Linked DNA regions of Xenopus tropicalis. The protein of the gene in region 2 purifies or fractionates together with the protein of the main gene of each other region. This does not show direct contact. Links are inferred from orthologs where the notes say so. Each region holds a gene or a part of one and is shown on either strand. Other genes may lie near its edges.

What was found. Proteins that work in one complex are often made in the same cells at the same time.
Region 1: the proteins of tle1 (region 2) and foxg1 purify together in Homo sapiens (affinity purification with western blotting; 3 studies listed by BioGRID and IntAct, with this or other methods). This does not show direct contact. The link is inferred for Xenopus tropicalis from reciprocal best matches to the Homo sapiens genes TLE1 and FOXG1.

What each region holds. Positions count from the first base shown.
Region 1 is NC_030684.2:112,467,196-112,472,017, reverse strand, and holds foxg1 (forkhead box protein G1), read right to left. Parts: upstream 2,952-4,822; 5' UTR 2,692-2,951; coding exon 1,393-2,691; 3' UTR 1,280-1,392; downstream 1-1,279. UniProt on the Homo sapiens protein: Transcription repression factor which plays an important role in the establishment of the regional subdivision of the developing brain and in the development of the telencephalon.
Region 2 is NC_030677.2:133,429,254-133,434,119, forward strand, and holds the end of tle1 (transducin-like enhancer protein 1), read right to left. Parts: intron 3,171-4,866; coding exon 3,094-3,170; intron 1,668-3,093; coding exon 1,560-1,667; 3' UTR 201-1,559; downstream 1-200. UniProt on the Homo sapiens protein: Transcriptional corepressor that binds to a number of transcription factors. Inhibits NF-kappa-B-regulated gene expression. Inhibits the transcriptional activation mediated by FOXA2, and by CTNNB1 and TCF family members in Wnt signaling.

The DNA of each region.
Region 1 (4,822 bases), on a different chromosome or scaffold from region 2:
TCATATATATATATATGTAACTCAATGTATATATATATATTTATACATATACATATTTATATACATCTATATTATACATAATTAAGTTAAAGAGGAGCAACGTTTTTGTAAAGCAAATATATACACACAGACAAACACACGTGTGTTACATATATGATGCAGACAAAGATGTGCAGATGTATAACCCTCATATAAAACATACTGCATTTATCAATGCGCCCATCTTTCTCTATAATTGAATATATACGAATCCATGTAACAGGATAACGTTAGGGCCTACTTTGAACTTTGTGAGTTCCCTGTTTATTCCCCCCCACCCCCACCCCACAAATACATTTAATTTAATAGACAAAAGACAAAACTGTATTCTATAGGAATTTGGCCTATTTTTGATTTTTTTTGTTTATTTCTTGTGTCTTCATAGTAAACATTTTGTATAAGTGACAAACACGGGCATATGACCACATTTTCACAATCAAGAGATTTAAAGACAACAATTACAATCACTCAAATTTATGCATTTTACTCAACACGGGTTATACATATTTTGCAAGGTTTTACCTAGAAGTACAATCGTTTTTTTTTCTTTAACGTTTCACTACATTAAAAAAAAAAATAAAATAGGAAGAAAAATAAAATAAAATAAGGTAACCGACCGGTTAGTGAGCACATACATCGAAATCTACACAACACAAATTAAAGGCAGTATTCAGTTTCCCCCTAGAACTTGTATTTTTTCTAGTATTTTTTTTTTCCCTTTCTGAATGGACAGTGCTGAAAACTGATGGAATTTAATATTATTATTATTCTCTTTTTGTTATGTATCAGTAGGCTGACTGCATGATCTACAACCCAATCTTTGGTCTAAAAGTAAACAAAAAACCCAGCTCCTTTATTTTTTTTTGTGTCATGATGAAAGGATACATATTTAATGGGCAAAAAATAGATATATTTATTGAAATGACAGTTAAATACAAATTAGCATTTGCAAGTTGCTGAGAGTAGATAGTTTTAGTATTGGTTGCTGATCATTAAGGAATATTTTTGCCGAGCTAGATCCAGTAATAATACTGCAGACATGGGACTGGGGGGGCTGCTAACAGAAGTAGAATGCAGAGCAGTCACTAGTTTAGAGTCACATAAGACAAGGGTCAGCAGTCTGACCCACTTGCTTGGACACCACACCTTATCTCAGCAATACAGAAGCCTAGAGACTCAACAAACGTACAGAAAATAAGGGGGACTTCATAAAAAATACCTGGACTTGTCTTTTTATGGATTTTTTTTTTTGTTTTTTTGTTCGCTTGCTTTTTTTTTTTTTTTCCTTTCACTTCTCATGTACAATGGAAATGTGTGTAAAACGTTCACTTACAGTCTTGTCCCAGGGTGATGTTAATGTATCAAAGAGTTGGACGAAGAGCCCTGATTTTGATGTGTGAAATAATCTGAGAGTCCTCCTGAGAGTCCTGTTGTGAAGCTTGGCAAGGCAGGTCTGAGGGACTCACAGGGCAGAGTGGAGGGAGCCTGGGGGGAGGTGGAAGAGGAAGCCGCCCTGGCTGCCATAGAAGTGCTGCTTTGAGAGGTTATAGAGGGGTGAGGTACATGGGGGAAAAAGTAGCCCGTTTGTCCAGCGAGAAGGTTGACAGAGCAAGGGTTAAGGGAGTAGGTGCCCGAGCAAGGCACCGGGAGGCCACATGGCACCGAGGCAGCCAGGGCGGCTGCAGTGAGATGGTGGGTGGCATAAGGGATCTCTCCGTTGACCAGTCTGTCTACGCTCAAGCCATTCGACGTAGAAAAAGAATGGTTGCTCCCCAGTGAGTTCTGAGTCAAGACTGAGCTGTAGGGCATGGGGTGGCTAGGGTAGGCTGAGGTGGTCCCATTGTAGCTGAGGGCGCTGCTGGCCCGGGGGTGGTGCAAGGAAAGGAAAGGGGACATAGGCCAGTACAGGGAGCCGGCTCTATCCATAAATGTCAGCCCGGTGGAGGTGAGCCTGGCTCCCCGCTTGAACGCCAGTTTAGCCCTGGAGGTGGTAGATCTCCTGCGCAGTTTCCCAGTGGTCCCACCAATGAACACATCGTCGCTGCTGGGGTCCAACATCCAGTAGTTGCCCTTGCCGGGGTCATCGTAGTGGCGGGGCACCTTGACGAAGCACTTGTTGAGGCTGAGGTTGTGGCGGATGGAGTTCTGCCAGCCCTGCTTGTTCTCCCGGTAGTAGGGGAAGTTCTTCATGATGAACTCGTAGATGCCATTGAGGGTGAGGCGCTTCTCCGGGCTCTGGCGGATAGCCATCATGATCAGGGCATTGTAGGAAAAGGGGGGCTTCTCGTACTTGCCGTTCTTCTTCTCGCCCCCTTCCTTCCCATTCTCCCCATCTTTGCCGCCGCCACCATCCGCCTTCTTGTCCTCACTCTTCTCCTTGTCCTCCCCGGGCAGCTCGGAGGCAGCCGGGTCTCCCTTACCCGGGGGGAGGCTCTCTGTCTTCACTTCCAGGAGGCTCTTGTCCAGCTCGTCCTCCTCCTGTAGCGGCCGGTGGTGGGGCTGGAGATGGTGCGACTGCTGCGGCAGTTGCAGGTGGTGGTGGTGGTGATGGTGCGGCTGGGGATGGTTGTCATTTTGCACGGCTTCAGGCACTAGGCTGTTGATACTGAACGACGACTTGGGGATCATTTTAACTTCCTTCCTATCCCCCATGTCCAACATATCACAAGGATTGGAGCCGGACACTCGAGTCAAGTCGCAGCAGTAGGAAGCAGCCGCAGCAGCAGCAGCAGCTCTGTCGCACCACCGTCTCCAAACACTTGTAAGTCATGAAGCAAAAAACCAAACGCACATAATATTGGCGTCAATTAAAGGGCTGTAAATACATATACATATAAATATAATCAGGGTGCGAGCCAGGGGAGAGAATGCAGCAAACTATTTCATGTCCCTTCAAAATAAACACAACAAGCGTCCCCTCTGTGCATCTAGAGTAGACAGCTATAGCTACAATTAATTCCAGACCCAGAGACACCAGCCTGGGGAAAAAAGAAGAATTTGCTTTAACCTTTGCATCTTGGAACCAATGGGAGAGCTCAGAGTGCAAGAACGTTCCTTACTCCTCCAGCCAATCACATGGCACATACTTCCAAGGACCCACCCAAAGTTTCTTCCCTCCCTCTTTCTCACTCTCCCTCCCCCCCCAACTCCTTTGCCTTGCGGAGGGATATGGGAGGGAATCTCTTTACCTCTCCTCCCCCCTCTCCTTCTTTCCCTACCAAATATCTGCCATTGCTTTCATCCCACTGTATTGGACCATCTCACTTTTATACGTCAATATTTTCTCTTATTGATTAAAGTTTGTTTATACCTTTTTTTTTCTTTTTAGGGAGAAAATAACCATGGAGGGAAGAAAGTGGAAGAATCAAGGGACTACTTTGCCAGCCTTGGGGGACTGAGGATTTTCTGAGCGATTGTAGCGATTTGATTTACACAATGTAACATTGTGCGCCGAATGTTGAATCGAGATGTTATTTATTTATTTGTTCTAATACGTAACAATGTGTGTAATGAGTCTCTGCTTGGGGGGATTATTTTAGGAGCATGGATCTGTCGGCCCCTGTTTAGTAGGCGCTTGGCTGGGTTCAGGCCACACCAGGGAGGGGGCACTAACGGATAGATGCTATAAGGCAGTAAAATCTGTGCGTTTTGCCTTAATTGCGCAAATGTTACTATCTGAATCAGGAATGCCCCCCTTTTCACTGTTAGATGGGCCAGCTGCACCTTCAGTGCCTTTTCTAACAAGAGGAGGGGGGGCTTGTTTCTTTTGCCTTATTCTGAGTGTTTTTTTCTGATTCCATGCTATGATTAAACTAATTCTGTAGAACGGTTAATATCATCAGGCATTGAAATCAGTGCTGTTTTCCCTCCTAATTGTACAAATACGTTACTTTCCCAACCAGGAATTCCCCTCACCCCCTTTTTTGACTGTCAAATGGGCCAGCTGCACCTTCAGTGGCCTTTCTAGCAATAAGGGAGGGAAGGAGGCTTGATTTCTTTTGCTTTATTTCTTAGTGTTTTCTCAGATTCCGCGCTATGATTATACCAACTCTGCAGAATGGTTAATATTATAAATTCATGAGTCTGAATTTCCAATCTTGCCTTGATTGTGGTGCCACGTATGGAATGATTAATATTATGTATGCATGATACACACCAGTAGCCTTGATTATTTCTATAGGAAAAATCATCTGCAGCAGAATGTGCCACTCATCTGCCTCTCAGGCTTTGTGTGCTATATATATATATGTATAAATACATCTATGTATAGACAGACAGCATAGACCTATATATAATAATATATATTACTATATATATTTAAATATTTCCATGTATAGATAGACGTACATCATAGACAGACAGACAGACAGACAGCAGATAGATAGATAGATAGATAGATAGATAGATAGATAGATAGATAGATGATAGAGCACAGGCCCTATGTATAGATAGAAAGACAGAAGATAGATTGGACAGATAGATAGATGATACATAGATAGATAATTAGATAGATAGATAGATAGATAGATAAATAGATAGATAGATAGATAGATAGATAGATAGATAGATAGATAGATAGATGATAGATATCGCAGTGCTCTGCCCTGTTTGTGTACCCAGCGACTCTTGGTGTTCAGCTGGATATTGTTTGATTCCAAATGAATGACTTTGTGTCCTGACAGTGGGTGATTGCCTTATATTTACACTGTTTATGTTCTACTCCCTGCTAACCCCAAGCTGGCTAGTGTAAATAAACCAATCCATATCTGCTGGGGCATTGCTG
Region 2 (4,866 bases):
CTTAGTGAATAGTAGAAATGCAGCACCAGTGATACTTATTTACATAGGCGAACTGTAAAACTATGAAATTACAAAGGCACACATTTATGAGTGGCTGGCAACCGAAACATGCACTTTATCGCAGATGGATGAAAAATTAAGGAGATAAACTAATTATCAGGTACCAAGAAATCAACAAAAAGAAGAAAATATTTTGAGTGCAAAAGGACATAATTAAAAGATTTTAATTTGGATGTTGAGCAGAATTAAAGAAACCACGCATGTATACATAACATGAACAAGCAGCTCATTATGGCTTGTTACAAAGGCTCATGAAAGAAAAGAAAGAAAAAAAAAAAAAAAAAACAACCCACGGAGTTGCCAGCAAAAGGCCCCTACCAGGTGAAAATGAAGAAATACTAGGTCAGAACTTTAATCACTCAATCCATTCAGTGAAGCGTACCAGATATGTCATTTGCTCTTGGGAGATTCCATTTAACCAAATTATTCTAGATGGAGTCAAGCACCTTCTTTAATTCTCCCTTCAAGGCATAAAATGTTGGGAACAATTAAAGCATACAGGGCTAAAAATATGAGAAATAGGCTTTAATTTTATATATACACAATTAAAGAACCCTGATACTCCCCAAGCTAAGTACCAGCAGATAGTCTGCTTTTAACAGATCTCTCAAGTTAGAATGGCATGATGATCTGACAGGGCTTATGTAAATGGTTCTAGCAATCGAGTAAAAAGAGAAAGCTAAACAAATTGTTAGAAAGGAGGAACAGGACAAACTTCAATTCATCCCATACGCAACTAAAACAGATCTCCAATGATGGCAGCTCATATTTATAACAACATTTACAACTTGCCTAAACCTATCACAGTGTAGTAAAATATGAATAGAACTTCACAACCTTTGCAATGGCAGATAATTACAAATCCTATATACACCATGGGATTTACATTTACATATTGACAGTTAGAAAAAAAAAAAAAAAAAAAGGTCAGTTGGTACTAAAGCCTTTACTGTAGCAAACCAAATATATTTACATTTTTTACAAATGCTTGACCTTAAACCGAAGTACAAAAAAAAAATCACAAAAAAAAAAAAAAAAACACTGTTTTGCGAAGTATAGCAGGATGTCAAATTCATAGCCCTCCAGCTGTCAGGAACATCAATTCGCAGACTAAGAGGGACTTCACTGAGAAATGTAGCTCACAACAGCCATAGGGACAAAAATTTGGCTTACCAGAAGTAAATTGCTAATCTGGAGTTACCCTTACGTTAAGGTTAACACCTGTGTCCGTCACATTAAAAAAAGAACAAAAAAAAGTCAGCAGACTTGTTAAGACATTTCTGATCCACCTCCCTCATATTAGTTTGTTCTAGGCAGTTTATATGTTCAGGAAGTTGTTTGCACTATTTGTGCCAGTAGGAAACAAAAAAAAGTTCATAATCCACAATCAAAGTCACTTCTTTCCTTCTTTCGATTCTAATAATGTGTCTCTTTTCCAAACTAGTAAACATTTTGGCCAGGGAAAATCCATAAGAAAGGTAGTGAAGCTGCCATCACTTTCAGTAGATGACTTCATAGACTGTGGCCTTCTTGTCCCCTGACCCAGTGACAATGTATTTGTCATCGATAGAGATATCGCAGCTCAGTACAGATGAGGATTCTTTGGACTGTGGGAAAGAAGAACACAGAGCTATTATATTGCAGTAGGGATCCTCTGAACTTTAACCTTCAGTTATTTAATGATAACAAGGAATCTCCCAGAGCAGCAATGCAGAATTATTCTGTGTGACTGCTGCAGCAATAATGGACAGAATGCAAAGGGCTACCAGGAATCTATATGTTAGACCACTTTATCCACTTTCTTTTTATTACACAATATGCTGCATTGCTTAAGTGCATGTGAACTTCACTTTTACAATAATAAGGCTTGGCTAGTCTAACCAGGGATCCACCGCGTTGTGGCTCGCAAGTAATAGGTTGTCCCCTGTTACAATAAACTAGCAGCAGACACCAAGCAAGTATACAGTCAGCTAGAGATTGCTTAAAGGACATGTAAAGCCTACATTTGCCTACAATGTATATCAGTTAGGCACGTCTCTCCCACCCAAATGGCATCATTTGTACTGCATATATCCCCTCCGTTTGCTAGCACCATCACATTTCCCTAAAGCAAATAGCAGCTTTCACCCAGTGGCCATTTTTTCTCTGATACATTTAAATCTGCAGACAGCAGATACACACACAGACCATTATTCAGCATACATTTCATCAATAATACAGGCTCACACAGGCAGAACAGTCTTTGATAAAAGTTCTGCTTTGTTTGAGCTGAGCTCAGGAGAGGAGGTTAGGAGAAAAATATTGAAGCAGACAGCTAGAGCTGAGTTTCTATGGGAACCAGCAATGCCATCTCTTCACTAGCTGCTAGACTGGAGGGCGTGTTTATTAATCTGAGCTTAGAACAACTGAGCATGCCCACAAGCCAGAAGTCAAAGCAAATTCCTGAGGGAGGGGGCCGAGTGGGTTACAGGAGGAGAAGGAAATCTAAGTGATTAAGGAGATGTTGCAGCCTTACTATTAACCTCTGGAAACCAGAGTGTCAGGTATTGAAAGATTTCAAAGAGGCTGCTCACTGATTACATTTTTGTGTGTGGGGTTTACATGTCCTTTAAGGCAGCCAAGAGACATTTCTATAACCAAGCAATTTGGTCCTAAATGTGCCTTACAGAGCACAAAATGTTGGAAACCTTTGGCCTAACCTATGTTCTCTATATTAAATGATGCATTATGCCTTAAGCCACACAAGAATGAACACTGAGGCCTGAAAAGTAACTTGGAGCAATCTAATAACATCTTCATAGACTCCTTTCATCATATGGGTCATTAATTACCAAAACAGAAGTTTGTACTATAAAAAAAAGCGGTCATGTAAAAAAGTCACGCTGTAAATATATACACATATCCCCCCCCACACAGATGTTTACAAGAAGCATTCCTTCTATTTAGCTTTATTCTACATTTACGAATCCATTTATAAGTGACATTCATAGAGAAGGCTTATAATTGATTAGCAAGCATAGGGGAAATACCTACCTGGAATATACTGGCTCCATATGGGGTTCGCCAAGCATTAAGAAGATTATCCTTTCCAGTACTTACAAACCATTTGCCTAGACGAATATCGGAACAAAACATTAAAATCATAACAAGCATAAATCATTGCAATAGATTCACATAGCTCTAAAAGGGAATTTTTAGAAAGGATTGTTTTTAAATTAATATATTTGAATGTAATGCTAATATCAGACATTCTTTGGACATATTGTTTCCCTCAGATAGAGAAAAGCATTTTGACTGACACTTTTTAATGCCTGATGACAGCAATAGTCAAAACACACCTAACATTAGCCTAAAAAAATATTTAAATCACTTAGTTAAGGATTATGACTAATTTTCTAATGCAGCTATAATCCTATAAATGAAAGGAAGTACACTAACATTAAATTTTAACCCAATATTTGAATTGTTTTTACGACAGCATCCTATTAAGCATACTGTACAAACACCAACAGTCTGCTGTCTTTCACAATACATACAGTGGCTTGCAAAAGTATTCGGCCCCCTTGAACTTTTCCACATTTTGTCACATTACAGCCACAAACCTGAATCAATTTTATTGGAATTCCACGTGAAAGACCAATACAAAGTGGTGTACACGTGAGAAGTGGAACGAAAATCGTACATGATTCCAAACATTTTTTACAAATAAATAACTGCAAAGTGGGGTGTGCGTAATTATTCAGCCCCCCGAGTCAATACTTTGTAGAACCACCTTTTGCTGCAATTACAGCTGCCAGGCTTTTAGGGTATGTCTCTACCAGCTTTGCACATCTAGAGACTGAAATCCTTGCCCATTCTTCTTTGCAAAACAGCTCCAGCTCAGTCAGATTAGATGGACAGCGTTTGTGAACAGCAGTTTTCAGATCTTGCCACAGATTCTCCATTGGATTTAGATCTGGACTTTGACTGGGCCATTCTAACACATGGATATGTTTTGTTTTAAACCATTCCATTGTTGCCCTGGCTTTATGTTTAGGGTCGTTGTCCTGCTGGAAGGTGAACCTCTGCCCCAGTCTCAAGTCTTTTGCAGACTCCAAGAGGTTTTCTTCCAAGATTGCCCTGTATTTGGCTCCATCCATCTTCCCATCAACTCTGACCAGCTTCCCTGTCCCTGCTGAAGAGAAGCCCCCCCAGAGCATGATGCTGCCACCACCATATTTGACAGTGGGGATGGTGTGTTCAGAGTGATGTGCAGTGTTAGTTTTCCGCCACACATAGCGTTTTGCATTTTGGCCAAAAAGTTCAATTTTGGTCTCATCTGACCAGAGCACCTTCTTCCACATGTTTGCTGTGTCCCCCGCATGGCTTGTGGCAAACTGCAAACGGGACTTCTTATGGTTTTCTGTTAACAATGGCTTTCTTCTTGCCACTCTTCCATAAAGGCCAACTTTGTGCAGTGCACGACTAATAGTTGTCCTATGGACAGATTCCCCCACCTGAGCTGTAGATCTCTGCAGCTCCCCCAGAGTCACCATGGGCCTCTTGGCTGCATTTCTGATCAGCGCTCTCCTTGTTCGGCCTGTGAGTTTAGGGGGACGGCCTTGTCTCGGTAGGGTTACAGTTGTGCCATACTCCTTCCATTTCTGAATGATCGCTTAAACAGTGCTCCGTGGGATGTTCAAGGCTTTGGAAATCTTTTTGTAGCCTAAGCCTGCTTTAAATTTCTCAATAACTTTATCCCTGACCTGTCTGGTGTGTTCTTTGGACTTCATGGTGGTGTTGCTCCCAATATTCTCTTAGACAACC